2 linked regions of the Daphnia pulex genome follow. The protein of the gene in region 2 binds, or shares a complex with, the protein of the main gene of each other region. Links are inferred from orthologs where the notes say so. Each region holds a gene or a part of one and is shown on either strand. Other genes may lie near its edges.

Region 1 (15,921 bases), on a different chromosome or scaffold from region 2:
AGGAGGAGCACACCACCGCTTGATTGCGTTGATTGCGGGATATAGGTAACAAGCCGAAAAACTTTCTCTTCGTCTTTTTATGAGAAACTTCTTCTGTTAAAGTACATACAGTTTCACAACCGGGGCGTGGGCACCACATCAATCTGGGATCGACTGCAACCTCTGAAATTATAAAGGATATTGTTAATGAGTTGAATTCTTCAGGGAACATTTAGCCAATTTACCTGTGTTGAGTTGCAGTCTCAAGTAAAGGGGAAACACATCACTGGGTACCAATTGTCTCACCTTAGATATAAAAGGTATTGAAAATTTAGCACCCCTAACAGAGCTTGATCAATTTCCAACACCTACTTCATTGCGAGTGAGTTGACTGGACCCTCCTTGTTTATTTTTTCCTTGTTCGTTTAGAGAACAGTGGGCATCTGGGCAACTTATAGGGACATTTCCACTCCTAATACTGCAGTGAGCATACATCTCCATGCACTAAAATATGAACAGTAATAACATTAAGCTTTCCACTGCAGAACTTAAAATCAATAAAAACCTACCTGCTGACAAAATCTACAACCACAGGATTCTAAGGTAAACCACTCATTAGGGACCTGCAGACAAAGAAGACAAACCAGATCGTCTTGAAGGATATCTTCCATAGTCTCCATCTGATCCTGACTTTGTTGATTGATGACTAAGCCTGTGTGATAGAAATGGCCCATATTAAGCAAAGCTTACAGTAAGATATCAAAATTGTGTTATTACCTCCTTGTGAATGACTAGGCATGCCTTCTTCATACTCACGAGGCACAACATTGCTTACATTTGGTACTAACTGGTTTGAACTTCGAGCTGGCTTCCTTTTTTTTAACCATCCTGGCCAATGCCATTTTTCTGATTTCTCAGTTTTACTGGAATTTAAGGACTGGTGATGTCCAATGATTTTGTTGAGCCCTGGCATTTTGTTACTCATGCAGGTTACTTCTTGATGGTTCTGGGCACTCCTACAGTCTCTTATTCTATTTGGTTTTATATAAAAGCCAAGGTCAAATAGAACGCAGTAATTTTCCTCGCGTGGTTTCACAGGATTCACAAACACGAGAAAACAATCGCGTGATTGGGGGATGTTTAACGAATCAGCAAGTCGTCCTTGGGGAGATAAAATGGCTCAGAATCTGTCAATTCTAAGGAAACAGAAAAAATGGGTATGTGCACACTGCACAAAAGGTACATCACGTATTAGCAACCAAACAGCAAAATGTTTTTTTTTTTACACGAAAATAAAAAATGTTTAAAATTGCTTACTAGAAATGCTCGTCATTAGGACGCGTGTGTCAAAAAAATTTAACTTTCCCCTCTAACTACATTCGGTACTGCGACTGGTAACCACCTCTGACTAAGTAAGATTTCGTTTTCCAACTGAACTGCTAGTGGGTAGTGCTGACTTTATGCGCGGCCAGCTTTACTTCAGGGCAACTCCGCGATACGAGCATCGATTCAAGGAAAGTATCGATTAAAACGCCCACTGTTTGTCTGTTATGTATTCCCGGTTTTTGAGTCGTACTAGGCTAGCCTGCTTTAACATTTGATATTAGTTTTCTTCATACAGATGATGCGATTCCAACGATTCCCCTTTCCGGTTATGCAATCAGTGAATAATTTTTATTTTCTCAACTTGACGATCTCAGTTGAACAAAAAGGCATGATTCACGTGATCAATGCATGGTAAAGTCGCGGACTTTTGCGGTGTAAATCGTTCAAATTTCAACAACGGCCTCTTGAGGTGCAACAAAAAGTATCCAGTAACAAAGTTTATCATTCTCTTCTTTCTAATTTTTTTATTTTACGCAATCGAGGTGTGTGACACTTATTAAAAATGGGTGGATCAAAATGAATGAACGTTGAAAATGCGGAAAAAAGTAATTCGGAGCGATTCGCAAATTTCATTTGGCATTGGGGGCACTGGCATCTGGATAGTGTTTCTGGTAGGCTCGGGCAATGTCTGGATCAAGCAGATGGACACCATCGAGTTGATTTCCCAGGGTAATCCTAAATATCATGTAACAATGTCATTTACTTGCACGTGATAAAATTCTCATTTCCTTACTAGCGTCCATGAAAAGCTAACCACAAAATATTAGAAGGAAAAGAGCAAAAATACTACGTCGGGCGTCAAATAGGCAGAACGGAATTGAAGGACAGTGAGTACGTAATGCATGAAGGTCAAGTAAATGAACACACCAATTTGGCTGTACGTTGTGAGGCCTTCCAAACAACTCGATTTTGCGCGTTCCGGGCGAGAGACGTTCAATAATGCCATACATTTCGTCTGGTTTGTGGCTGGTTGCCCGCACTTCGGCCACGATGACGTCACAATCCAGTCCGCGGTTCAGCATTCTGGGATTACCCTTCATACCTACCTATAACCAAACAAAAATCCAGATACGCATGTATTGGAAAGTACGTTCGTAGAATATATACGTAACTACTAACTAGCTTAGTAGAGTGATTAAAACGCAAGGTGTAGTAGGGTGAGAAAATACGTCAATACCAAGCAGTGTTCTTTCCCATGGTTTAACCAGTGTCCTGTTCGACCTGTTCGAATAATCCTTTGTAGCTGGTTTGTCTTGACCCAAATAATTTCATCGACCCGTTCGTAGCCCCATAGCTGAAGGCACTAGAGAGAGAGAACACGCGTGAGTCACTTGGTTGATTTTGCTACATGTTGAACAACTATTTTAAAAATGTAATGATACCTCTCGGCCCAATTCCATGGCTCGACCAGTAACCCAGAGGAATATCAATCCTTCATCTTGAAGGATAGGAATGCTCAGTTGTCTCATCTCGTCATCAGAAAGGGTTCCATATGGAAGTTCCATGTGAATATCCCACGGTGGATCAGCCATGATAACCGAAAACTTACCTGAATCATAAATGTAAAAAAGAGAGTATTAAAAAAAACCATGGGACCTGTACATAAGGTTGCATATACCTAAAATGGCCATATCCAATGACCGTAAATCACACTGAATCCACTGAGCTGGGTACAGGACAGTGCTTTCACCTCGCGAGACCACTGCCTGACCGAGCAAGGAGCCGGGTTCAAAATCATCCTTTGTTTTAATGGCTTGGTCAACCTCGTAATGAACCTAACATTTTCCAGAAAATGAATTTAAATGAGAAGGTCTAGGGGGAATGCACATTGCGCAACAAGCTCACGTATTTGCACGTTTCCATATGAAAACAGGTATTCAAGAAAGAACAATCTCCAAGTGACTCGTCTGTGTGTGACTGTATAATTTTACGAAAATGAAGCCGATGGCAATTCCATTTGCTTTCGAGACCGTCATCTGATTCAGACATCCAAACTTTACGGCATTCATCTTTAGTTCCGTGGGCGCAAAACTCTTTAACCTGAGCCCCTAAAGAAAATTACTAATAATCAAAGTAACAAAAAAAAATTTGTCGCGTAAGGGTCAACTAACCTCCTTGTGAACGGAATCTTTCTGCTAAGGATTTTTCTTTGACAGTTGGTTTCGACAAAAGATCCAGAATTTCTTCGCCCATTTTCTTGTTTTCTTTTTCTCGTGTCGACGGAAGCGATAACAAGTTCTAAGGAAACAACAAGTTATATAAGTATTAAAACAGTGAACATATGTATTTTACCATGACATCATCATTTTTGGAATCTTTTTTTTCTCTTTTGGACTTAGATAGATCTTCTTTCACTGTTACAGTTTGTGCTGGTAAAGCCGACTCTTCAGCTTCCACTTCATTTTCTGTTTTGATGCAATGATTAGATTCCAAAGAGTGGAAAGTAGTATAAATTTACAGAATATTACGCTTTCGTTTCAAGGATATGGAATTTCCTAACTGATCTTCAGTAACCATAGCAACAAGACGAGCATGCTCAGCATGTGTGATGGTAAGTACTGGCTGATTTTCCTGTATGCCATCTACAAGTCTTTGAAATGGAATAATACTTAATATGGATTCTCAATCAAATGTGTACACACAACACAAACCTAATAAGTTCTTGAGCAGCAAATTTTTGGAGAAGATTACTGACAATTGTGTGTGAAACTAGATATCCAATTTGAGTGGAAACATTATGGCAAATGATTCTGGAATCTGAAGGTAAGGAAAGTGTGGCATCGGTTAATATCCTGAGAACACAATTTTCAATATCTTTATTGGCTTCTTTGCTGGAACTTGACAGATTTATCTCACATGCTTCATCTAGAAAGAAAAGAAATGTTGAAAAATCAGAATCATTGTTCTAGAACCTCATTTACCTGAAAATTTTTGATTGCTATCTGTTTTAACAGTTGAAGTTGAATCGCCTCCTCCAAGGAGATCTTCTCTTTCTTTTCTTCTCTTTTGTAACCGTTCTCTAAGTTCATTTCTTTTTGATTTGACAGCTTGAATCTCCTCCCAAGCGTCAGACATTTTGGAACAAATCAAAATAAATGTGAGGGATTATAAGAACAACAAAACTTCACAAACAAACCGGCATATGATAGAAAATGTCAGACAAGCAGCCAGATTGTTTTCATTCTGCTTTCAGTGTATATTATTTTAGACGGCCGCTAGATGGCCTTTTTCTGGAAATTGGCAAGGGCAGCAATAAGTACAAAAACGGATTAAAGATCCATGTAATTAAAAAAAATTAACATTACCATTCACTAGGTAACGTAAACCGATCCAATTTGCATATCATATTTTTTTTAATAAAAAAAAAGATGGCACTAGTGTTGGTTCGGGAAATGTCGTTCACGTTGGTTAGAAGTCGTCTGCTAGGACGTCCTTCCTCTTGTCGTGTTGGAACTTTCAAGTCACTAGTCACATCCAGTACGTCAGCCGGTCTTCTCCTTTAATTTCAGTCCCGATCAAAAGTAAGTTTCAATAAAATGTCTGGAAACCAAGAACGTACCTACTTGATGATCAAGCCCGATGGTGTCCAGCGAGGACTCGTCGGTGAAATCATCAAAAGATTCGAACAGAAAGGCTTCAAATTGGTCGCACTCAAATTTGTCCAGGTATGTGTGAATCACTTCTTAATTATAAGGAATTGGATCTGCCATTAATTCTGATTGTTCTTTAACTTGTTTGTGTCACTAGCCTACTGAGGAGATGTTGCAGAAACACTATGCTGACCTGTCTGGCCGCCCATTCTTTGCTGGTTTGGTGAAGTACATGGCATCTGGACCAGTTGTTGCAATGGTAAAGAAATAATTTCTTTAGCTGCAATTAACTGTTAGTTTAATACATGCAATGTACTTTCAGGTCTGGGAGGGTTTGAACATTGTCAAGACTGGCCGTCAAATGTTGGGTGAGACCAACCCTGCTGACTCCAAGCCTGGTACCATCAGAGGAGATTTCTGTATTCAAGTTGGCAGGTAAGACTAGTTTTGAATGATAACTTTACACCACATGTTAAATTTTTTTAAAATTAGGAACATCATGCATGGATCTGACTCTGTTGAGAGTGCCAACAAGGAAATTGCCTTGTGGTTCAGGGATGAAGAACTTGTTTCATGGCAGCCAGCTGATAAAGTTTGGGTTTATGAAGACTAGATCAATTGAAATATTTAAGGGGGGCTGAACATATCAGTGTTTAATATTTTAACTGAGATATAAAAATATCAAACTGAAAATATTGTCCTATTAAATTTCCATATTATTTTAGACGGTCGCTAGATGGCCTTTTCTGGAAATTGGCAAGGGCAGCAAAGTACAAAAACGGATCAAGGATCCATGTTATTAAAAAAAATTAACATTACCATTCACTAGGTAACGTAAACCGATCCAATTTGCATATCATATTTTTATAAATAAAAAGGTGGCACTAGTGTCGGTTCGGGAACTTTCGTTTCGTTCACGTTGGTTAGAAGTCGTCTGCTAGGACGTCCTTCCTCTTGTCGTGTTGGAACTTTCAAGTCACTAGTCACATCCAGTACGTCAGCCGGTCTTCTCCTTTAATTTCAGTCCCGATCAAAAGTAAGTTTCAATAAAATGTCTGGAAACCAAGAACGTACCTACTTGATGATCAAGCCCGATGGTGTCCAGCGAGGACTCGTCGGTGAAATCATCAAAAGATTCGAACAGAAAGGCTTCAAATTGGTCGCACTCAAATTTGTCCAGGTATGTGTGAATCACTTCTTAATTATAAGGAATTGGATCTGCCATTAATTCTGATTGTTCTTTAACTTGTTTGTGTCACTAGCCTACTGAGGAGATGTTGCAGAAACACTATGCTGACCTGTCTGGCCGCCCATTCTTTGCTGGTTTGGTGAAGTACATGGCATCTGGACCAGTTGTTGCAATGGTAAAGAAATAATTTTTTTAGCTGCAATTAACTGTTAGTTTAATACATGCAATGTACTTTCAGGTCTGGGAGGGTTTGAACATTGTCAAGACTGGCCGTCAAATGTTGGGTGAGACCAACCCTGCTGACTCCAAGCCTGGTACCATCAGAGGAGATTTCTGTATTCAAGTTGGCAGGTAAGACTAGTTTTGAATGATAACTTTACACCACATATTAAATTTTTCTTTTAATTAGGAACATCATGCATGGATCTGACTCTGTTGAGAGTGCCAACAAGGAAATTGCCTTGTGGTTCAAGGATGAAGAACTTGTTTCATGGCAGCCAGCTGATAAAGTTTGGGTTTATGAAGACTAGATCAATTGAAATATTTAATGGGGGCTGAACATATCAGTGTTTATTATTTTAACTGAGATATGAAAATATTACACTGGAAATATTGTCCTATTGAATTTCCATCAAGATTGTTATTAAGTTGAATTTATTGCTAAAGTTACATTATTAGATATGGGTTCTAGTCCTTCTGGTGTAATGTGATTATCTACGAACACCCATTTATCTTATTTATGTATCGAATTTTAAGACGTCAATTAGATTAGATGGGGAAAGTGAGAAAACATTCAAGTAGGCCGATCGTTGATGTACAGAAATGATTCGATTCCTGTGATCCGTGCAAACATATTAACAACCACAAGATGGCTGAACTACCCAACTTTTCCCTGTAAATGATTATCTTCGTGCAAAGGGTATTACCTCCTAGGTACTTTTGCTCAGATTCGTACAAGCCGATAGACGCACGAAGGGCATAATCTAATTAATTTTCTTGTAATCGATGGTCACAAGAGAAACGAAGGTAGTGCGTCGAGATCAATGCCCTCCCGCTTGTTTACGATAGACCCTTCCGAATAGCGTCGATGACACGGATATTATGGTATGACTTGACTTCTAATCGACTTCTCTCACTTCAAGACTACTTTTTCTTTTGAACACGCGTCACAAGAATTTTTTAAAGCTGATTTGACGCTGTTTTTCCTTGTAAATTTGACCTCATTTTCAAAATTGGTGTAGTTAGTTACGCGTTCACAGATGGCGTCGAACGGGACATTTCTTTTTCGCCACCACCATGACAGTAGTTATTCTAAAAAGAAAATCTACTAGATGAACTTTAGTAGATTAATGAATATGCCTTATACGGGTGGCGGAGTAGTCGAAAGTCGAGCAATAGAAAACGCCCGTTCACGAAAAGAAAGGGCGATTGTGCGGTCCGCGTCATTCTCCCCTCTCCATAACTGGTTTTCCCGACTCAACGGTCAAATATTTTTCTAAGCCAAACTAGTTATTATTATTCCGTAGGCCGGTTGTGGTAAAGACTGTTTGACTGTTTAGAAGTAAACACAAATGGAAAATGGAAAACAGAAAATCTAAATTAATAATAAAAAAGTAAAGCAACAAAGTTGACTATTAATTGAGCTACTTTAAATCATAGCGTTCACAAGTCACGCGAGAATGGAAATAGGGAATCGTGTAGTAATCATAATCTATCACCGATAGCAATTCAGAAAAAAATAAAAAGTGCCGAGAGGAAGTGGGTAGAAGGAGGGTTGATGAAAACGAGGACAAAGGAAAATAACCGGGGAGAGTAACCCGCCATTTTGGAATGAGGGAGGGGACACATCGGAATAGAGAGGAGGTTTAAATAAAACAAAGATCGGCCACTATCGAGTTCTGTTAAATTATTCATTCCCAGCGCCACAAGTGTCGGTTCTGCGAACCAACCCGTAGAAAAGAGTAAGCAGAGCGGTTGGTGGCTAACGGATATTTGCAGTTGCGCTGGTCGGCCGCTAGACATGAGCGTTGGCTTGAGAACGGTCATCTCTATTTTAATCCTCCCATCCCCGTTGATCTCGCACAGAAAAGCTTTCTTCTACTCCTGTGTCTGGTAGAGAACTGTTGAAGAGTAAAAGAAGAAAACGAAGAAGAGAAAGAGAAAGAAGAGAGAGAAGGGGAAGAAGAACAGCGTCAAAAGTCAGAGAATCAGTGTGTGTGTGTGTGTGTGTGTATATGTGTGCGTGTAAGGTCTTGTTACCCTTACGAAATATCCCGGCCGACAGATTCTCACACAAGTCGGATATTTTTCAGTAAAAATAATAAAAATAATAAAAAAAAAACCTTCCGTTCTCTTTGACTGGACACGATAAGCGTCGCTTTGCCATTTTGGATTTTTTTGTGTGTTGTTGATCCGTTTTTCCAGCTGCTTTACCTCTCGGTTCGGCGTCGTCCGTTCTGTGTGTGTGTGTGTGGCCCCAATTTCTGGATAATCCTCCATTTTTTAATTACGGATAACTCGATTGACATAACGAACGAGGTGAACTATTTTCGGGTTCTTTATCATAACTTTTTTCACCTTTTGGCAGGTGTGTCTGATGTCAAGTGTTGGTTGGGGAGAGGGTAGAATGGAGTGAAAGAAAGAGATGAAGAGGAAGAAGAAGAATGAGAATGAGGGGATGGGGATGTTGTGATTTGTACAAAAGATAAAAGTTGATAATTGTGTGTTGTGTCAGTTTCTCCTTTCTTATATGTAAACTCTTGTGTTTTCCTCTTTGCAGATGGCTTTGGGTATAGGGGACCAGTTTTGTTTGAGATGGAACAATTACCACTGCAATATGACGTCAGTGATAAACCAGCTACTGGCTGAAGAGGCCTTTGTCGATGTCACTTTGGCCTGTGATGGTGCCAGAATCAAAGCTCACAGAGTATATAACCCTCATACATTTCCAATTTATCGCTCAAGGTTTACTTATTCGTTGGCTTGTTGCTCAGGTTGTTCTGTCAGCCTGTTCCCCCTATTTTCAGCGTGTGCTGTTGGACAATCCTTGCAAACACCCTGTGCTGATTCTTCCTGTGGGTGTGGGCCATGCCGATTTGAGAGCCATTGTTGAATTCATCTACAGAGGTGAAACCTACGTAACCAGGGACCAGCTCTCTTCGATAGTTCGAGTGGCAGAACTATTGAAAATCAAAGGTATGCAACGTGAAATCATTTCATGGCTATTTTCTTAATTAAAACTAAAATGTCATTTATTATTTAGGGTTATGTGAAGTGTCACAGCAACAGAATGAAACTCAAACAGTGGGTTCTGTGATGTCACACACACTGCCACTCCCACCTGTGGCAGATCACCAGTCTGGCCCAGGCCCGGGAAACAATGGCAACTATACTAATGTGGTCAACGATTCCTCAATGACTACTGTGGCAGCTTCCCTAGGAGTACCCAACAACACAGTTGTCTCAATGGCAACAATGACCCAGCCCATCAATCAGTTAATTTCGCCGGGACAGAACAGTGGTCAGGGCCAGAGGCCTTCGTACTCGCCGTCCTACAGGGGTAGGCCTAGAGGAAGGAGACCTTCCGGTTCTTCTGGTTCCGGTCGTGGAGGATGGACTGGAAATAGTGGAGAAAAAAGGAATGCAGCAGCTGCCGGGCTTAACTCGGGTGGTGGCGTACGACGTCCAACTCGAGGAACCTATCGAGGCTCCTGGCCCAGTCGATCGCCTTCCAAAACGTCACCCACAGGTTCCAATCAGAGTACTGTACAGGGCAGCAGTAGCCAAGGTAACGATCGCATTTGCCTAGCGTAATTTCAGTAGTTAAAATCAAATCATATTTGTGTCATTGTGTTTTTCTAATTGGGTCAGATTCGGTCGATTTAGTCCAAGACAACGACTCGATGATGGTGCAAACGCCACAATCACTACAGGGTAATCCGGGCGGAGGAGGAGGGGGAGGTGGGGGCGATGTGGGCGGCTATCACGCCAATCCTTCAGCATCGAATACCCCCGTACATTCTGCACCCTCATCACTTGATTCACAACCGCAAACGACAAATCTCTACGACACGAGAGGTTACAACAGTCCAGTGGCACTTGACCATTTGCCCAGTCCATGGCAGCATCACCTGAGTCAACATGCATCTCACGCTCACAACTTCAGTCCGGGGAACGCCGGCGGCAATTCATCGGGTCAACAACAGCAGCAACAACAACAACAACAGGACCGTTCGTTTAAAACGGAGCCTGGTGGAGGCCACGGCGGAGGGGAATTTCCTCACGCATCCGCCGTTCGGAGTGAAGCGTCGGTCAATGACTCTGATAGGGTAAATTCATTAGCTAATTCGATCTAAACTTTCGGTAATCTAATCGAGTTTCCCGTCCTGTTTAGAACGGCCATGACGATGGAGGAGGGTTGACGGTGACGCCGGAAATTTTGGGCTTAATTCCGTCGCACATTACCATGCACGGCCATCACCCACATTCGCATCAGCAGCAACACCAGGGACACCATTCAGGTGGCAGCGGTCAGAACACGACCGACGGGCCCATCGGCAATAACAATGGAGACGCTGCGAGTGTTGCTGGCGGTGGTAGCGACGGCGGAGCGTCGATGAATGCGGTCAACGATGCTCCGACTAAGAAAATGTACACACCGGAAGCCATGGAAGCAGCCCTGGACGCTTTACGTAACGGCAGTATGAGTTTGACGCGGGCGGCCGCCGCCTTTGGGATTCCATCCACAACACTATGGCAACGAGCCCACCGGCTCGGCATTGACACACCCATGAAGAAAGATCCTTCCAGCAGACATTGGTCCGAAGATGATCTCCGGCTAGCGCTGGATGCACTCAGAGCTGGCAGAATATCAGCCAATAGAGCTTCCAAGGAGTACGGAATTCCTAGCTCTACCCTGTACAAAATAGCCCGAAAGGTAATTGAATTCTAATTGCATTTTACTTATCCAATATGATATTTTCATTTGCAATCGTCGATCAATAGGAGGGAATTAAATTAGCAGCTCCATTTAATGCCTCGCCGACGACTTGGAGTCCTGATGACTTGGGTGTGTTCCAGCTGTTTCATCAAAAATTTAGATTCTTACTTTATTCATGGGCTTTTTATTGATTAAAAAGGTCGAGCACTTGAAGCAATTCGAGGTGGCATGTCCGTCCAAAGAGCAGCTACACAATTTGGCATTCCGTCCGGGACGCTTTACGGCCGGTGTAAGCGGGAAGGCATCGAACTAGTTCATAAGGTAAAGAGCTTTTTTTGTCGTTTATTAGCTTTATCGATTTATTTTTCGTGGGAATTCATTTCTTTTTTATTCGATTGCAGCAAAGTTATAGCGGGGATCGACCGTGGTCCGACACGAACATGACGGACGCTATGGAAGCGGTGCGGCAGGGGGAAATGTCCATTAATCAGGCAGCCATCCACTTTAATGTCCCTTATTCGTCACTGTACAATCGCATCAAGAGGATAAAAGCGGCAGAAGAGGCCGGCGAAAGTTACGAAGCAGCTCTGGCCGAAAGTGGGCCGCCTCCTGACGATGGTGATGTGTAAGTGGCTCCTGAAATTGATTTTTTCCCTCCTTCATTATGATACATGTCCCTTGTTAATTCAACAGGTACGACGACGATTTGGACGAGGACGATCCTATGATGATTGCGGCCGGCAGTGGCGGAGGAGCCAGTGGTGGAGTGACTCCTTCGCCGACATCACAGGGTCACGCTCCTCAGCACCAGCAGCAACAGGGAATGGGTGGCGAGCCGTCGCCTTCTCCGTCGTCCTACAACCCGGGCGGTCATGTTTCTCATACACCTTACCTGACGAGCCACGTACCTGGTCACGTGACGATGACTTTGCCCGTCATGTCGACCGGGCCCGTCCCGCTCACAATGGACTATCAAGCCTACGCCCACAGCCAGTCTCACGCCACTAACTCGTCGAGCCAATCGTCCGGTGCTGTCACCTATCCGCAGTAAATTGAAATTCGAGTCTCCCGATCAGGGCGGGGTCACCAACAATTTCTTTATTTTTTATTTTTTACGTTTCTCTACCCCCCACCTACACACACTATATTTTTTTAATACCAGGTGAATGGTTCCAAACAAATGTTGTGCATGTGTTGCATCTACGTATATCATTTCCGCTCCTTTTTCCCTTTTTTTAAAAAAACAACCACACACACGACACATTCGCTTCCGAAATTTAAGAAAAATTTATTATTTTTGGAGGGTTACACTGGAACTTGTGTCGATCGAGTTTATATATAATATAATATATAAATAATCAAGATGTGAGCATGGGTTCAATCACGTCTTGGTCGATTTTTCGCCTCTAATCGATTGATTTAAAAAAGAAAAAACGAAAACAAAATTATTTATTTTTCCACCATTTTGGACGAGAAAAAAAGCAATTATTTGTTTTCCGTTTTATTTTATCGGAATTTATTCACCTTTTTTTTACCGCCATGCGGAAAAATGGATTTACTTTAGTTTTCTTTTCAATTGGATCTGAAGAAAAAAAAAGAAAAATATTTGAAGAGTCGAGAAAAAACTTGTTTTGAGTGTGTGTGTGTGTGTGTGAGTTTGTACATGTGTGTGCGTGTTTGATGAATCTCCTATAAAAGAAAATAAGAAAGCAATCATTTCTACTCCCGGACCCAGTTCCCACCCCAATCCCCTCCACATTTTAATTTCAATATTCAAAACACACACACACCTTATCCTCCTTTCTCTTTCCCGTGAACAAAATAAAAATAAAAAACACAAAAAAAATTATGTTTCCGTACAAGAAAAGGATGAAATTTAATAACGCGCGCGATTGATTGATTATAGTGAAAATACACACAACTATTTTTCTGTTGAAAATGTAGATGGCGTCCAAAGAAAGTCTTTTTATCAAACGGTCAAGGCGAAATAACAAATTTAAATTTAATTCTAATTGGTCCTGGAGGCTTAATCGTGGCGGATTTCGTTATTGAAGTAATTATCTGTGGGTTTCATGCAAATTTTTACTTTCATCTTGTCTAAGTAGGTGAGACAAACAATTTGATACTAAAATAATTCTGATCCGTTCAGCGGATGTCAAACGCGGACGAGAAAACCGCTTTGATCGTTTTTGCAATTTAGATTAAGGGGGAAGGGTTTGATTTTGAATAGTTAAAATTGAGAAAAGTGTCGTCTGCATTTATTTACAAAGTTTAAGATAAGGTTCAAAACGGATGATTCAATATTCAGCTAAAGGTAAAATTTAATTTGAAATGATTAAATGTATTGCTAGTTGTCACAAGCTTTATGTAAGTCAATCTGGAAAGTATTTGTGCTGAAATGTGAAAACATTTTGGTAAACCAAATCGAAGTTGTGGAACAACATAATGAAAGTTGTTTGTCAGTAAATCATTTCAAGTTTATTAGGAAAACAATCATGTAGATATTAGAAAACATGGTAAACATCATATTTCATTCATATTTTCACAAGTTTTCTTGGAACTGTACATCATGCTGCAGTATTAATCATTGTTATTTCACGTAAAGTGAAGTCAACAAGTTTCACTTTGCAAATGCAATTTTAAACATTTTGCATTTCTTGGATGAAGAATGATTTGTCGACAAACAACTTGTGTTTCACAAATTAGATTATCAAATCATTATCAAATCCAAAAAATGTTTAAACTTTAATTTCTATCAAAGCAAAAGTGCAACTAGAAAATGTTTTATGAGGGACCTACCGCGGCACCTCCTTGTATTAATTTTTCTTCCCCTTGGAATTCTTTAAGTCTCAAATGACCGGACAAGCTTTCGTCTAAATAACTCAAGGCGTGTAGTACAACCTTGATTTCGACTGACGGTTGAGTGATTCCTCGTAGGCAGTTTTAATTACAAATGCAGATCGACTTTCATGATCATCCGACCGTCATCTGTCATTTCCGTTGCGTAGTCCGTACAGAGAGAGAGAGAGAGTGTGTTATTAGATGGTGCATATGGTCGGAGGAAAAGCTTTTTCAGGGGGGGTTTATATATATGTGTGTGTAAAAGGGGGGAGGGTGATGGGGTGTATAATATTATATCACCCCTCGACAACCACGAAACCCCGCCCACCAGTTAATAAAGTGTGTGTGTGTGTAATCAAACAGCAGCAGTTTCTAACCGTTTCCGTTTAATATATCGGGCGTCTTCTCATATGGTTTCCAGATTCCTCCGACCAGCCTGGTTTGATCCGTCTGCACACACACGCAGCTTTTTTGTCATCATGTGTCAAAAAATTGATAAAAGAAAGAAGAACAAAAGAGAAGAAATGTATACACATATATAAAGATAAGGCACTTGACAAGCTTCGGATCAATAAGAAAACTTTTCCACTATATACGTGGTGTGCGGAGGCTATAGAAATAACAATAAATAAATATCTACTGTATATACACACACACACCCTCCGCCCCCCCCCCTCCAAGTCTGTTCACGTAAACACGTCTGGAATATAAAGAAAAAAAAAAAAGTTTCGAATGAATTGCGCATGCGTTTATATCTCCCCCTCTCTCTCGTTTTCTTCTGTCATTGCCGAGACAACAGCCCATTCTCATTTGAATATCCCAATTCTTTATTCCAACGCGCCAAGCCGGAGCAGAGAGCTTGTTGGCTTGGCCGATCTTCTTTAATGCGAATGGTGCTGGGCCCTGCCCGTGTGTCAGCTGATGAATCACCTGTCGACTGTAAGAGTCTCAAACATATACACACTAGACGTATATAGCCTATGGCCATACGTCTCTCACATGTATAGTGGCTAGCCTCGCACAGTTTTTAATCAACTTGATTACACCAGCTGGATGTGCCATACAGTTTTTGGGGGAAGAAGAAGTTTCTTTTGTTGTACGCTGCGTTCATAAATCAAACGTCACGCTCGCATGAATTTAAATCCTCTTGGCAGCCTGTGGGACGAGACCCAATGACGCGCTATTTATATAATACACCAACGACGAGAGATGTGACAAAAGACGGGCTAAATGTACTACTATAAGACAACATTCGTCTTCTCTTTATGATTGTTATAAGAAGAAGAAGATGAATCGCAATCACGCCGCCTAACAAAAAAAGTCTTTGTGCAATGACTGCAATCATTCACGTTGGGGTGTTATCGTCCAACTGGGGGACTGACGCGCTGTCTACCACCGCAGCGAAACTTTTTCTTTGTCCCAGCAGATCAAAAGAGATGAGGGGAAAATGTTTTTTCGACGTCTATAACTTTTAGACAAAGTATAGAGCCGATACTGGCTGTCAGCAGAAGAAGTTGCTGGTTCTCCGCCATTTTGAACTACGTGATTTCAAGTTAAAGAAGAAGAAAAAAGCCACAAAAGGAGAGACGGGAGTTTTTGTTTATTATCGCACTCGATACGAAGGTTTTGACAAAAACAGGTAGCGCTTCTTTCACTCACGTAAATAATAAACAAACGGCAGCAGGGGGGGGAGAGAGAAATTCATTTTCACTATTTCAAACCGAGCCCCCAATGCTGATGATGGAAATGTTGTACACACACACACATACAGACACAACAGACACACACACACACGTACAGACATGAAATTATTATTATTATTACAACGACGCAGATTCGTATACTTATTTTTTTGTCGATTTGTTTTTGCATAATTAATTCATAAGCGCTATGTAAATATAGAAAATATAAATATCAACAAATGGCGCACACACTTGGACACGGTGAAAATAAAAAATGTTGTTGTTGTTGTTGTCTACCTGGTCCAAAAATGTTTT
Region 2 (15,935 bases):
TGCTATGTATCTTGTTATGTACTCCAAGGTTACTGGATCTTCCACTGTCAGTTTATGGGACTGACATTCTATTCTGGCTCTGTTGATCAAAATTCGGGCATCTGCTGTCAGCCCTGCAAATGCCATCACCACATGATCATCAAGGAGGCATATTTTTCGGACAGTCCTTTCTTCTTGTAGCTTGGCAACAGACTTTTTCTCGACTCCCAAGATTACTAAATTCTTGCCTCTTACACCAACCTAAACAAAGTTAAAATATACACGAAAGTAATCATTAGTCGGTGTCGACTGCCACTATCGTAGAAATTTACTTACAGCAGTGGATCCTTTCTTGACAGCTTCTTGAGCATATTCGACCTGAAAGAGATGCCCATCTGGTGAAAATACTGTAATGGCGCGATCGTAACGTGCTGAACCCATTATTAGTCTATTTGATAAGTACTGGTGAGCTTTCAATCAAGTTTCTCACTTCAGTTAAAGAGCAGAAAATTTTGCGTCAAAAAATTTGCCGAGTCAAGCAGCTCGCCGAACAACGTTAACAAATCTATTAAAAAATGTAAAAACAAAAAAATTATCTCATAAGTTCGAACTCATTAATAAATTTTTGTTTCCCCTTCAACCACAGTGGATTAGATTTTACTATAAAATAATTATAAGACTTTATTTTTAAATTCGGAAATCGTCGATCGCTTTTTCTTTTTTGATGTGTAATGTTCCAGATAATTATAGATCAAGCACCGCCAAATGAAGTAAATGGTTCTCATGCGGCAAAGTTCAAAAGCTTGGAGTGATTTTCGTACTAAATACAATTTTGGACATCAATTCACATGCAACCATTTGAATAAAAATAATCGTGATATTATATGGAACAGAGAACACTAGAATACTACTTTCATGTGATTTTCACTTATATATTTCAATAGGTCCAATTTTGTGCTTTGGTACTATAACAAAAGATGGCGCGCAATGCAAGTGACAGCCATCACAGGCAACCTACAGTTATCTATGTGTGCAGACAGTCGATAAGTTGTCAAAAAATGGAGTTCGCAACGAGATTGTTTTTATTGTGTATTTATAGTGTTACTGTTTTAGAAACTTATGGCTACCAAATATGTAAGTCCACTGTTTTTTTTTTCAAACGTTAACATTATCTCCTTAAATATAATGGTGCGTTTCATTATAACCAATTTCGACAACGCCCTTAGCCCTTAGGTTTGACTCACTGATGTCACAATAATAATGGCCCTTATTGTTTTCCGTTTTAGATTATTTAGAAGATGCAAATGTCTGTTCCTCGGCCAAAAGGACTATTAAAATGAATTCAAGGAGTACTGCACTCTTGATACAACTTTCAAAGTACCCTCATGTTACTGAGTTAGCGATTGACTGCCATCTAGAAATAGAAGCACCAAAAAATCAGGGTTTGCAAGTTGTTGTTGAAGACATTAATCTTAGGAGAAATCCTTTGGATAATGAGTGTGATGACTATGTCTGGGTAAGTCCTATAAACTTTAAATAAATTGTTTTGGATTTTTTTTCATGACACCCTTAATTGTAGTTTGGCAGAGATGATGATGGCTACCTCAGCAAAAAGTTGTGTGGAGAAAGAAAACTGGTTCCCATCTATGATTATACCAGTGAACGTCCATCAGAATCCAATGATGAAGAAGTTCTCCACAATTATGTGGAATCACTTATTCCTGAAGGACCAGAAGCAACAACATTTTATGACCCTGGTGGAGAGTTGCACATATGGTTTAGAAAAACCAGCAGGAAAGTGGATCAAAATCTTCAACCCCTACGACTTAAAGTAGTTGTAACTTCTTACAGACAGAGTAATATAAACACCTCATTTATATTCTATGATGCCAGTAATAAATATTGACTTTAAAAAACAGCTTGCAAAACAAATGACACTGCTTACTGGCCATGTATACCCAGTGTTGACAAGTCAACCAAGATGCAAGAAAAATGCATCCCATCCAATTTGAAATGTGATGGACACGTCAATTGTGGAGCAGGACTTTTTTCGGATGAAACGGGATGTGCTGTCGCAACATCGAGCAATAGTAAGAATCGCATATGTAAACTCAAATCCGTTAAATTTACCAACATATTCCTTTAAAAGTTTCAAACAACGCCATCAGCACAGCGTCGCTCGTCATTCTGGGAGCCGTAGCACTTCTCATTTTATGCCTGATGGCAAGCATGGTGTGTTTCTGCCGCCGGCGCAAAGCACGACTTCGCCGCGCGAGAAATCAAGAAGATTGCCAAGTCGTATCAACCTTACCCATACCTCATCATGCCGGCGAAGGTAAATTATTATTGAATTGAAATCTACCCAAAATTTGTTTTATATTTTATTGTTAATTTTTTAACTCCATCTATTTATTTTTAGTTCCTTTAGAAAGATGGCGAGTTCCTCTGCATGACGAGGCTCCGGCCACTAAGGCTCTAGAAGATCCGCCTCCGAGTTATTCGGAATTGTTTCCGGATTACGCAGCCGTGCCGCAGCAATCAACTGACTCGAACTGACGCTTGATCAAAACTATTGCTTCAAAATCTTCCAAAACTCAAAACGGGAAGAGAACGTATCGGCTCTCGCATAGCGCTTTCATGACAGCAAGAGACACTCTGTTTTCAAATTGCCAACTTCCTTTTTAAATCACTGCCAATTTCACATTTTCTATCCCTCTTCTATTCTTCTTTCCTTTTGAAGAAGCAGCGCCACAGTATTCAGGTTATCATCACATGTACCAGTATTGAGGTCTTGCTTAGAAATGATGGACTGATTCACTTGAACAGTGAAAGCCAAAAATTCAGACTTCGATTTTCATCTATAGAAAAAGTTCCTTGCTCATGAATTCGGCTTCTATCCCACCTTTTCTCTCTACTATCGTAAAGATTTGACGCCATTTTTCCTCGTGCTAGTCTAGTAGGCCTAGCCTTTTGTCCTAGAAAGCGTTTTGCCTGGTTGCACTTTGAAGTTTGGATCTGATTAGGTGCCGAAGTGTATAGACGTCAAGTATCAGATTATTTGGGGTAATAGAACGTAGGGTGCAATTAAAAGGTACCCATCAGGACGCACATATCGTCGCACACTAGAAAACTAGCAAGAAGAAAAACTCTTTGTACATTTTTACATTTTTTTTTTCACTTTTACCTCTCATCTTGCTCTCACCCTAACCCCTCCCCCCCATCTTTGTCGATGTAATAAATGTGTCGTTCGCGTAGCGGTCGGTCTGTATTTGCAGTGGAAGCAAAACCTCGTTTTTTTTTTCATTTTAAATTGTTACTCATTACATTTTATTCACGTTCAATTTGGTCACAGACAAACTTTTCCGATACAATCATTCTTCTCTTCCTTCCGATTTTCTGCCAGGGATTTTTATTTAGCGAGAAAACGTTCGTGTGTGTCGCGTACGACCAGTTGATGGGGCCGTATTTGACGGCGAACTGTATCGCTCCTTGCTAGCGGTGTTGGTCCAAACACGATTAGTAGACTGAAAACGGGTAGCAGAACGCGCTTCAACCACAGAAGAATGAAGATATGGATCGTCCCACTTGGCTGAGGAAGAAGACGTCGACGTCGAACCGGTGCCGCCTGGACGAGACCGAGCGGCCTCACGTCGGGGTTGCTGAAAATTAAAGCGACCACGTTCACCGGGAAAACCACCTCGGCCTCGATTGCCACTGCCCCTGCCTCCTCCACCTCTTGCGATTTTGGTGCCGTACAAATTGTTGCCAACCCCAGATGATGAGGAAGGTCCACCACCCACAGCTCCGTTCTTTTCCATGGCAACAAAATCGTCGACATGTAGTGATGGTGGACGTGATGTGTTGGGTGCGCGAGAACGGAAAGGATCGTTTCGCCCATTGACGCCAGGTCTTCCGAATCCTCTCCCTCGCATTGGAGCCACATACGGCTTATTGGATTTGTCACGCGCTGTAGATAGAATCGGTCTTCCGGGTGGAGCGTCGGTTGATTGCGCATCCATTCGACCTTTTATTGAAATCACTGTAGTTGCTCGTCCACCAATCTCCGTAGGTTCGGAATGACTCTTACAAAGACGTTCGGTCAAAGCCATTAAATCCACATCGGCACCCAAGCAACTCTGTGCTGTCTCCAGAAGATCGCAACGAATATGATCCGTATCAGAGTCGGCAGGTTCGTCTACCCAGTGTTGATGATTGGATAACCAATAAGAAGAGGAAAGACGATCTTCATCAGTTGGAGAATCACTCAACAGTGGCCGGTGTGCAAACTGGAGATTTAGAGTCTCTGGGAGCGGGATGATAATTTCTATTGCGGTATCTTTTATGGTGGCTGCATCAGAGTCCGAGGATTGAAGAATATTCACCAACGCCGTAAGACTATCTCGTAGGCTTTCCATTGATTCTTCTTCTGTACAGTTTTCTCGTAAAAAATCTTGAAGAACTAACAGTGGATGCTTTTTAGGTTCTTCTACAGAATTTTCTTCTGTTGATGTCGGTTCCATAGGCCATTGAAGAGCTTCTGAGAGTGTGCAGATGGGCACGATAACATTGCGCCGTCCAAGTGCCGCCGCCACTGGCGTCTTCACTAGTGTTCGAAGGAGTTCCAATGCAGTTGACAAAGTGGACACACTATCTGAACTGTCCTTATTGAAACCGCTAGCCATTTTATCGAAGAAGGCCCATAGGGCGTGCCGCTTTCGCTCTAAAACTTTATGCAAGTGCTGGAACGTGTAGTTGTGCTCCGTCAGCAACGTCAGTGTTCGAAGAGTAGGCAAGAGTGACGAGTAATTGTGTTCGGAATTAGCAAGGTGATCCCATAACCCAGACACGATGATTAACATGGGTTCACGGGACGGAAGGGCGGCTGACAAATAAGATTCGTATTCGACCTTATCGGGTGACAAAAGACAAATATCGGCGTCAAGTAACGCCTGGAAGATGGAGACGACGCATTCCTGCGATTGGATGTGAGCCGATGTTGTTGAGACCGAATTAAGGATCAAACACAAACACTGGAGAAATTCGGCGTATTTCTCATCCGATTTCTGCAATCCACGACAAAGCTGCAACACAGCTGCTTTAATTGGTGCATGTGTCACAATGGCTGCTAGAAAGTTTAACACCCGGGCCGAGTGAGCTGTGCAAATCAACGTAGCCGGAAGGAAGGCTACAGCAACATCTTTTTCATTTTCCTCGCTTTTGGCGTTTGCTGGTGGACTAGGATCTTGAATCAGGCAACTGGAAAGGACAGCATCCAATGCGGCTCTAGCTATAACAAGCGCAGTACTGGCCGAGAGATCGGCAATCTGGACACACACTTTTCGCAAGAGCTGTAAAAGTTGCGGGCCAGAGCAGCACAAGAGCCGGACAACTTGCTGCACTTGTGGCCCGAGAGTGTGCAGGTGAACACTCCAAAGTTTTCGGGCGTTGAGTATCTCTTGCACATCTTCTTCAGACAACTGGGTTTCACCTCCAACTCCTTTAAACAGAGGCAATGGCAGTGGGAGAATTTCGTTGAGCACTTGCAATCCTGTGATAAATGAAGCCGGCCCGGAACAAGTATGGACGAATTTTAAAATTTCCTGAACCATTTGCGTCCACAAACTTCGCGATAAAGCGTCTTCTGGTGTGGTAGATGCCTTGATGACACCACTAGTATTACTACTTCGCACGCTATTGCCATCTCCAGTTTGCAACAAAGGCTGACTATAAGCCAGTAAGGTGCCAACAATGTCGGAACAGCACTCGGCCACTTTGTAATGTAGCAAAGATGAAGCCGGAACAGCGCTAACCAGGGCGTACGTCTGCAGTAGGACTGGGACAGCTGTCAGGTCACGAAATTCTCCATCACGGCAGCGGATAAGTTGACATAGTAGACGACGGATCAACTTGAGTGATGGATGGACAATGGAAAGCAGAAGGAAGCCTTGCGGTCCAGCCAGTACGGCCCCATGAACAGCCGGCTGCTCATAGGCTTGACAGAGTTTCAGCAGTATGCTTACTAGCAGACTCAGCATATCGTGACTGAAGAGCTGTACTACGGCGTATGCATATTTGAGTTCCACGTATTCTTCTCCGCTACTTTCTCCCTACGTCCAAACGATTTCGTTAATAAATTTCAATTATGCTAAAGACGTTTAAAATGTCTTACCTGTTGTTTGGGTATGGCGAGTGGACAAAGCAGACGAAGAGCAACAATAAGCTCGGGTGGAAAACTCGCGGCATCATCGGCGTGCTGCTTGACTACGTCGCAAAGCACTGGCAAGCCGCTGTCGAGAGTGAAAACTTGGGGCTGATTAAGGATTTCAATCCAACGAGTCAGATGAGCCAACTTATTGCTATCATCTTGGTTGGAAGCCACCAATCCGATGAGTGATGCACCGTACTTGGCATAAAACATGGCATTTTCCGTTGATCTCACAATAAGTGCCACTAGCTCAGCCGCATATCCACGGACGGCAGATTCTTTCATCCTTATTTCAGTCTCTGCATCACTATCACTTGTCAGAATGTTGAGCAAAACATCAATATTGTTATCCAATGCAATAACATGGATCAGAGCCAACCGGCCTGTCACACTGAAAACCAGACTGTATAGCGATTGGATGCATTCGATGGCAGCTGGACTGTCTTTGTTGTTGTTTATCAAGTGATGATTGAGGACGTCCAGGCACTGTATAATGTAAAGTGAATGGGCTAACTGAACACCCAGCCGATGCGGAGTCATCGATGCATGATGACTAGTAACGTTCAGTTCTTCAACGTTGGCGTACTCGTCGTGACGTCCCTCGACCGATTCAGTGGCTAAACCAATTGATGGATGTCCGTGACCAACAGACGTGTGCATCAAAGCACGAAGGATCAACGTTGTTACGTCTGATTCACCAGAGAGGAAGCAAAGCCCATGATGCGTCATGGCAAAATCCTCCAGAAAGTGGAGCACCATGTCCATGATAACATGATCACTTCCTGTCAATGGATGAGTTGACAGAAGCAATAAAACGCCCAAGAATCTGTGATGACGGAAGAAACAGTAGAGTCCCTGGAGAGGATCCGAACCAGCGTTAGAGATCTCGTACTGACGGTAGACGGGCAGAAAACGAAGCAGATGACCAACAGTCAACTGTGGGTTCAGATAAACTTTTCGAACTTCATTTAAACTGGAAAGTAACTGCGTGAGATGAGGCTCTAACGGATTTTCAGCAACAACATTTGGACATGTGGCATTCGGTGTAGAAAAACTGTCCTGCGAGTTCGAGTCTTGACTTTCAATGCTCATTCCTGAAGGGCGACGAATGTCTTTTCGTCTAAAGCCGTTTGGAGGTAAACGGGCCAGGATTTGTCCGATGTTATGAATCCGCTGCAGAGCTTCGTAAGTATGTATCTTTCGGATGAGTGCGGTCACTGTTACTTGAGCTCTGGAGGGTTGAGTCGCTTCTAACAACTGGACGAAATATTCATAGCCGTTTGGGTACTCCAGTACGGGATTCTTCATCCAATGTTCCATGACGTAGGGCCATGAAAGCAGAGCATCAATGCTACGCAGGCACATTAGCTTGAGCGACTGAGCCATGTGGGGGGCACCGTAAAGGCTCGCAATTTTCGTCAAGACGCCACAATCTACTGAGCGTTCTATAAGCGACTGCGAGCACTGGGCCACCGTCTGCGAGAGTTTCAGACCACATTTGATGTGACGGACCGTATGTGTAGATGGACCTGGTTGTTCGCGAGCATGATCGAAATCTAGGCCGTGAAGTAACCAGTCAACCACTTTATCTTGAATTGATTTGAGCAGATCCGGCTGTGAGTGTAAGTAAGCCAAACCATTCGGTAAGATAGAGGCCAACTGATTCATGCTATCGATCCATTTTTCTCCGCGAGATGTTAGCTCCAGCGTCATCTGGAGTCTCAAAGCAGCGTCTTCTAAGTCTTTGCAAGGTATTCGAGGTTCGGAGACATTCTTGCTTACTCGTTGTAATGTGGTGTCTGAAGGATCTGTAAAATTCTGCAGCGGTTGCAGTTCGACACCGTAAGGATTAAATGTCTTTCCGATTTCAAGAAGATCACCGAATTCATTGATATCCAAATCCGTCATGTCGGCATTATAGTCTTCAAACATAAGGTCTTCATCGCTGAGGATTTCTTCTAGTTCTTCCAATTCTTCGGGTTCGACGACGCTGTCAGGGGCTGCTTCAACTAACACTTCAGTTGAATTGACAACCTCATCTTCAACGGGTGGCTCATCTTTCCGAAGAATGGATTCCGGTTCATTAACTTCGTTTATTTCCTCTTCAACTTCATCAGCGCGAGGGGCTAAACTATCCACTTCCGGCATGTCATCGTCTGATATAGCTTCCATTTCGACACCAGGCGAGAAGCATTCTACAGGGGGTTCATCTTTTTTTATGGAAGCAGGTGGCGGCGGAGGGGGTGGTGGAGGTGGTGGAGGTGGAACTTCAACCGGTACAGGTACCGGTACAGGTAGGACAATAGCAATTTCAATTTTCTTGTCTTCTGCAGGAGTCCGAGGCCGCCTCGAGCTTTCACGTGATCCTCGTTCTTTTGCTCTCTCTTTTTCACGATGGCGATCGCGGGATCTTTCTCGCGATCGATCACGTTCACTTCCGCCACTGCTTCGTTCGCGTTCCTTAGATCGCTCTTTACGATCGCTTCTATCACCACGTCTTTCGCGATCTCGGTCGTTTCTACCTCGTTCGTCGGTTCTGGCACGTTCTGAATCGCCTTTCACTCGATCTGGATCACATTTAACTCGGTCGGAATCACTTCTGGTTCTATCAGAGTCGCTCTTTTCGGTTCGTGTCCGTTCTGATTCGATTCTGTTCCTACCGACATCACCTTTGGATCTATCCGATTCACTCTTCGTTCGTTCAGGATCACTTCTAGTTCGATCTGAATCGCTCCTTTCACTTTTAGTTCGGTCGGACTCGTTTCGTTTTCTATCCAATTCTATTCTGGCCTTTTCACGGTCGGAATCTGTTCTACTACGTTCGGATTCAACTTTAAATCTGTCGGAATCTGGGCGTATTCGATCCGAATCATTTTTGGATCGATCAACATCGTGTCGGCTTCGATGATCACTTCGATTGATACGTTCGGAATCTGCTTTGCTGGTTCGATCGGATTCCCATTCTCTTTCACGGAAGTCACTTGTGTCTCGCGTCCGTGTGAACTCATCACTGCGTCTGCTTTTCTCTCGCACCTTCTCGACTACTTTTTCTTCGACCTTCACTTTGGTTTCTTTTTCTGGTTCATCCTCGCGTTTTACTTCAGATTCAACCACTGTTGATGTCACAAAAGCATTTTCACACTTTATTAGTTCTGCTTTTTCTTCGAACGGAGGGGTGGAAGTCCGTAACTTTTCGTCTATAATTTGATTTGTAAACACTGGCGCTAATTCTGGAACCGGTGGCTGGGCTGGTTCAACTGGAACTGGGCTAGCAGGTTTGATAGGGGCTGCTGGGGGTGGTGGAGGTATACTGATTATTGGGGCTCGTGTAATAACCCCATAAACAGCTAGGGTTACAGTGGTATACCAGCCTCTCAAAACTAAGCCATCTGTTGGTACCTGTAAAATATACTTGGGGTTAAAATGGTTTGTTAATTATGCATAGTAGTCAATTTACTTTTTTATCAGAATCGTAATGAATGTTAGAATTCTGATTGTAATCTAGAACACCAAGTGTCTCAAAAGCAGATGCTCCAGGTTTGCTCAAATCATTCACAAATAGTTCAAGCTTAAACTGGGATGGATTCGTTGCTCTGAAAATACATGTTAATATGTAAACATTATCCTTATAATTTATTTTGTTCTGTCGTAACCTACCCTAAACGCACTCCTCCGGGGAAATCAGCTTGCACTTTGGCGCCTAAAGGTATGACTCGCACTTGATTTATGTACACGGGCTTGGGAAACTGTACCAAATCCAAATTCAATTCCTGCAAAATGTCGCCAAGTTTGAGTTGTAGCCAAATTGATTTATGAATAAACATTTTCTGAATTGATTCAAACCTCTGTGGGACCATGTGCGAACGTATCGAAGAAGAGCAATTCCTCATTATCAATTTTTTTATCAATTATCAATTGTTCTAACACAGACATTTTATACTAGCCGAAAAACTTTCATGAGTAAAATTTTTGAGGGATAGAAAAAAGTTTGAGGGTTCGTAAAAGGTTAATAAACAGCAACTGTCATGGTTTTCTGAAAATATAAATACGACTGCCACTAGAGGGATCCCCAACTCAGTAATCCGCTAGATGGGTCTGGGAGAAACAACCTTTAATTTATAACATTCCTTGCTTCTTGCTTACGTCAACAAGTTTGAATCACACAATTACTTCAAGGCGTCCCGTCAATTTCCAAAACAAATTCAGAAGTGTCGATAAAATGGGAGCTGATGACAAATATAGTGTCCTGCTTCCGACTTACAATGAAAAAGACAATCTACCAATTATTGTCTGGCTCTTAGTCAAAGCCTTTACTGACAGGTAAGGTTGACACTTGCTTGCAGTCATAATAAGATTACAGGTCATAACAATGCATTTTATTTGTTAGTGGATACGATTTCGAAATTATTGTAATTGATGATGGAAGTCCTGATGGGACCCTAGATGTAGCAAAGCAGCTTCAAACCATTTATGGAGATAAAAAAATTGTATGGTAGTGTTAGGCTAAGTATTTTTTTTTCTAATTAGCTATAATATTGTCATATCACAGGTCTTGAGGCCACGAGAAAAGAAACTTGGACTTGGAACTGCTTATATTCATGGAATCAAACATGCTACTGGCAATTATGTTGTGATCATGGATGCTGATCTATCTCACCATGTAATCATCTTTATAAACTTAACCTTAGGGGACATTAATTTTAAAACATTTATTTTCTTGGCAGCCTAAATTTATTCACCAATTTATTGAAAAACAAAAAGAAAAGGACTATGACTTGGTTTCTGGAACTCGTTACAGTGGAAATGGTGGAGTTTATGGATGGGACCTGAAAAGGAAAGTGATTAGCAGAGGTGCAAACTATGTTACTCAAGTGCTGTTGAGACCTGGTGCTTCTGACCTCACTGGTAGCTTCCGCTTGTACAAGAAAAAAGTATTAGAAAAACTGGTGCAATCTTGTAAATCAAAGGGGTATGTTTTTCAAATGGAAATGGTTATAAGGGCTAGACAATTGGGATTTACAATTGGTGAAGTACCAATTTCATTTGTTGATCGGGTTTACGGTGAATCAAAATTAGGTGGGAATGAAATTTACCAATTTGCCAAAGGACTTTTGTATTTGTTTGCCACTACTTAACAAAATTCTTCAAACAATAACTTAAAATACACCTTCTAAAAATTGTTATTGAAATATTTTTGTTGTTTCTTGAATGAGCCATGATATCCATGAGATAACACACAGACCATGGTTAACAAATATAACTAATTCATTAGATTCCCTCATTTATAGAAATAACTAATTATTGAAATACATTTGTAAAATTGAGAACTATCATAATTCTAAAACTACTTGAATAGTTTCAAAATATATAAACTGCTATGGTGGTTATTTCACCCAATAAGCTGATTGCAAGTTCGTTTCCTAGCGTGTCTCCTATAAATAAAAGACGCTGTCGCGTCTTATTGTAAGCGCTCCACAACAAGTTAGTGCATTTGGATCTTCAACAATTCAAAAAATGGAAGGAACGAAATATTTCGCTAAAAACGCTATGCCGCTTTTCTCCCCATTCTTCGTGGTAATGACCATTTACCTAATCTCTTCAATCCAGGCTGTTGAAAACGATACAGGAGGCGATTTTGAGGATGTATTAAGAGAAAATTACAGGGGACCCGTTGCCTTTTTCACCATTTCTGCCCTGTTATTCGTAATCTTGATGCTTAGTTGCTGTTTATATGTAAGCAAACGTGGGAATCTCCACAATCCAGATGCAGTTCCCGTGGATTTCAATTGAACAATTCAAAATTGGATCGATAATTTCACAGTTGATTCTGAACTAATAAAGTTGTAAAACTCTTAACAAATTGGTTAAATCTTATTTCATCAATGATCGATCATTAAAAGACATTAATTATTGCAAGATTTTAGTGCCATATGTAGCACCTCAACCCAGCACCTCAACCCTCAATCTCAATTCTCAACCCAGCACCTAGCTATTTTCCGGCGCTATTTTTTTTTTAAAGCTATTTTGTCAAGCTATGCTGATGCTGACATCTAGCGGAGGGAAAAAGTGTATTAGATTTTTATACGTAACAGGACGACATATGGAATCAGTAGCCGATACTTTTTTCCAAAAGGCATTTTTTTTTCTTTTTCGTTTAACAAAAAAAGGGGAAGAATGGACTCTGACGCCACGTAAATATAAATACTACGTAATAACGTCATATTGTCGAGAATTGAACTGACACAAAGACGCTCTATACATTTCTTTTTTTTTCTTCTTCTTCCGGCGTATAAGTTGTAAAAAAGGGCGGAAGGCTTTACGGTTTTCGTGGAATTTTCTGAATGTAAGGGTTAAACTATTCGTTTGGGAGGGGGGATTTATTATTCCTATTTTGGCAACGTGTGAGAATATGTCGTCGTGCCGAGCTGCTGGTTGCTGTGATTCTGTAGCCAGGGATTTGATCGATATCTATACAGTAAAAAGATGTCAGTTGTGTGCTGCGTTATGTAATAAAAGGTACATACACACATAGTATACCATAACCCTGCTGCCAGATTTATTCGGCTTTTATATATAGTTGGGAGAAGAAGAAGAAGAAGAGAACCCCCATCTATATCCCCCCCCCCTCACCACCCAAAAGCTAATACTCGACTGCTATTCTCGAATTCGCGGCGCGTGCGCAGCCGAGCGTCGGTTTTTATAACAACAACAGGAGAAGGAGGAGGAGGAGGAGGAAAAAAAGGGAGAGAGAGAGATCACAGGGAGAAGATGAGGAGGAGGTAGTGGGGGGATTGGAATGAATAGAAAAAAGCTACGGGCCAGCAGCAGCAACTGCTTTCCCCCCTTCCTCCACCGATGAAACTCCCGTCGATGTCGGACGTGATCGACTGTGCAAACGTTTGTCAAAGCTTAAACAAGCCGACGCCGCTCTAACCCGTCGACCTTTCCCCCTCCTCCCCCATCCCCCTTGTATAAAGAGAGAGGAAAAAAAAGCAATGACGACGTTCCATTGTCCGTGTGCACCGGCCCAGGTTTTTAGGTGTACAGCAGCAGCAGCGGAGGAAAAAGGAAAAACTCGACGTCCCCACCCGCCACCGCATTACCACCTCCCACTCCTCCCCTCCCCCCACCCCACTGTACTATACTCTTTTTAACGTTCTTCTTCAGTAGCAGATTTACAGCTCTCTTTTAGTAGTAGGCGGCTTATTTGTTTATTTCTCTTCATATCTTACTATTCACTTTAAGATTGTTTATGAGCACTAAGAAGCGTCTTGGGATGCTACGAAATCTGACATCAACTAAGAATATTGAAAATGGATGTGCGGCATAGTTAAATACTTAAAGTGAACATGGCGCCATGCAATATTCAGTTAGCCAAGATTTATATTCTGGTAGTTTTCCAGTTTTAAGTTGTGATCTGCCCTTGCTAGTGTCGAAAATGGCCCAGAAGGCCCACCTACGAAATCATGTAACAGAAAATTGTTACTTTTTCTAGATGTTGGTCTGTGCCAGATGGCGGCGTAGCAAGAACACCCTCTAACTAATTGCAAAATCAATATGTATATAAGCGTTTAACCGTGGCTAATAAAGACTGGTAAAAGTCTGGCTTATGTGTGTCTCTTGTACTATGTCGTTTGAATTGAGTCAACATAAAATATATTGCATCGCCCCGTTTCGCCTAAGAGCAATTCAGTTCATTGGTCCAAAATTTGATTTTCCTTTTGTATTATTGTGCATGGATATAATTAGTAAATTTTGGCTCAACATAACTATTTTTAAATCCCGCAAAAGTTTGGCTAGAAAGCTAGTAATTAAAATCAGGTAAAGAAGGTTCAAACTCTTCTCCCGTCAAAGACTTTTATCATGATTATTAATGACCAAATGATGACGTTATAAAATAATAGGATATAAATATAGCTAAGACTCGGTACGCACCTAAAAGTCTGAAATCAAGTCCTCGTATATGAAACTGGATAACTGTATATAAAAAACATTTATGGCGGCTAACTGTTTTTTTTTTTCCCTTCATTTCTTACTATACGTATTAAAATTTCTTATGAGCACTATTAATCGCCTTAAAATGTTACGAAATATGACATAAACTTTCAACTACTAAAATGATTAAGCAGCAGAGGTAAGTTCACGTCGTGAACATGACGCCATCCATTTCTCAATTAAAAACGATTTATATACTGGTAGTTTCCGTAACTCAGTTGCGGTATCGGCTGGATAATCCGAAAGATAATGTCCAATCAAAAACTTAATTTCGTCAATAATGAAGCATCCTTCTTAACAAAACATTGGACGGTAGCGAAAGAGTACGTCTTCTAATCAAAACATAATCAACGCTCACAATGTTAACTACACCTTGGCTTATAAAGCCTGAAGCAACTTAGTGAACCTTTTAAATTTCTTTGGTACTTAGGCGTTATATTTCATATACTTAGAATTAAATTTAAATCGGCCTATTACGCCTATTTGCTATTCAGTTCATATGTCTGAAGTTAGAGATTCTCCTTTTGAATAATTTTTCATGGATATAGTTAGTAAATCTTGGCTCACCACTAAAATTAAAATCACGGTTCGATTCCCCTCTTTTTGGATAAATATAAAAATTGACAGATCACCAACATCCTATTTATTTTTTTGTCAGAAATGTTGTCGTTGTCGTCGTCGCCTTAGATTTGTTATCGTTCTTGATTATTCCCCTTCAATTCGTACACTCATACGTTTTTCATCCACGTGATTTTTGACATACGTATTTATTTATGCCCATGCGCGTGAGTGGGTGATATTTGTCACCTGATGAGAGAGCCAGACACGTTATTACTTGCGCCTTTTGATTTGACCAACATGGGGAGACGCACTCACACACGCTCCCGCTCATCCGCTAATATGTGATAAAGGATTTGTGATATTGTTAGGCTATATTACCACATCCGAGAGTAGAAACGTTTCATCGCCTATTGTGTCGCTGATGCAAATAATATGACAAACACGCAATCATTGTTTTGCAATAATATGTCGATCGCGTTTTTTGGCTACAATTACGAAATGATGAGTTTTTGGGCTGACATTTGTTGTTTGAATTTTTTTGTCAAGAAGCTGTGGCGCTCTAACAGCCGGATCAGGGCCTAGTTTTTCAACACGGCATCATATATATTCTATCCCCTATCCTATTTAGCTGCTGATAGATTGAACCCCTGGACCAATCGTATAGGCTGGCCAAACAATAAAGAAAACTATAAGGTTAAATCTCTTTCCTTTTGCTTTCTAAGTTCCACCGGCTATACAAAATATTGGGAAGATTCTATACATTCAAAGAGAAAAGCCATATTTTATACCGATGCGGCTGCTTTTGTGTTGCTGCTGGAACCCCCCTTGACGAGTTTGCGCACATTGTACATATGTGTGTGCCTCATGTTGAGCTACTGATTCCCCCTTCCGTGTGTTCAAAACATGTATACATATTAGATAAGTTGCTGGCCGGTTGCTGGACAGAAGATCTAAAAGAAATAACCCCCGGAGAATTTAGAGATGCAGTTGTCTTCTCCGCTGGATGGGTTTGACCCCCTTTTTTTAATTCTATGACATCATCAGGTCCATTGGCACGCTTCTTGTGTCTCTGTCTCTGTGTTTTTAATAGTCCAGTTTCCGTTTATTTGAATGACGCGCCTTTTTCTTTTGGGCGCTCTCTGTGTGTGTGTCTGTTTCCGAGCGTGAAAAGAGGGGCTTTCTTCCCTGCATTTCA

Evidence for each region.
Region 1: protein virilizer homolog (region 2) and N6-adenosine-methyltransferase catalytic subunit-like share a complex: the UniProt entries of both Drosophila melanogaster proteins name them as parts of the WMM complex. The link is inferred for Daphnia pulex from reciprocal best matches to the Drosophila melanogaster genes vir and Mettl3.

What each region holds. Positions count from the first base shown.
Region 1 is NC_060028.1:8,117,669-8,133,589, forward strand, and holds N6-adenosine-methyltransferase catalytic subunit-like, read right to left. Parts: upstream 4,614-15,921; 5' UTR 4,441-4,613; coding exon 4,287-4,440; intron 4,231-4,286; coding exon 4,017-4,230; intron 3,956-4,016; coding exon 3,834-3,955; intron 3,771-3,833; coding exon 3,658-3,770; intron 3,604-3,657; coding exon 3,477-3,603; intron 3,414-3,476; coding exon 3,211-3,413; intron 3,141-3,210; coding exon 2,984-3,140; intron 2,915-2,983; coding exon 2,748-2,914; intron 2,669-2,747; coding exon 2,543-2,668; intron 2,412-2,542; coding exon 2,233-2,411; intron 2,102-2,232; exon of another isoform or gene 2,041-2,101; coding exon 1,935-2,040; 3' UTR 1,815-1,934; downstream 1-1,814. Other genes in the region: probable E3 ubiquitin-protein ligase RNF144A, read right to left, coding at 1-162, 225-285, 352-483, 549-691, 757-964; protein bric-a-brac 2-like, read left to right, coding at 8,924-9,070, 9,138-9,339, 9,407-9,931, 10,015-10,472, 10,538-11,080, 11,149-11,212, 11,283-11,404, 11,485-11,708 and 1 more. UniProt on the Drosophila melanogaster protein: Catalytic component of the WMM complex, a complex that mediates N6-methyladenosine (m6A) methylation of mRNAs, a modification that plays a role in the efficiency of mRNA splicing and is required for sex determination.
Region 2 is NC_060020.1:7,378,974-7,394,908, forward strand, and holds protein virilizer homolog, read right to left. Parts: upstream 10,202-15,935; 5' UTR 10,118-10,201; coding exon 10,028-10,117; intron 9,955-10,027; coding exon 9,842-9,954; intron 9,778-9,841; coding exon 9,642-9,777; intron 9,584-9,641; coding exon 6,149-9,583; intron 6,087-6,148; coding exon 3,393-6,086; 3' UTR 2,928-3,392; downstream 1-2,927. Other genes in the region: proteasome subunit alpha type-7-like, read right to left, coding at 1-240, 316-420; uncharacterized protein LOC124192310, read left to right, coding at 1,038-1,113, 1,266-1,495, 1,559-1,835, 1,899-2,069, 2,129-2,314, 2,399-2,535; dolichol-phosphate mannosyltransferase subunit 1-like, read left to right, coding at 10,404-10,504, 10,572-10,671, 10,734-10,844, 10,909-11,319. UniProt on the Drosophila melanogaster protein: Associated component of the WMM complex, a complex that mediates N6-methyladenosine (m6A) methylation of mRNAs, a modification that plays a role in the efficiency of mRNA splicing and is required for sex determination.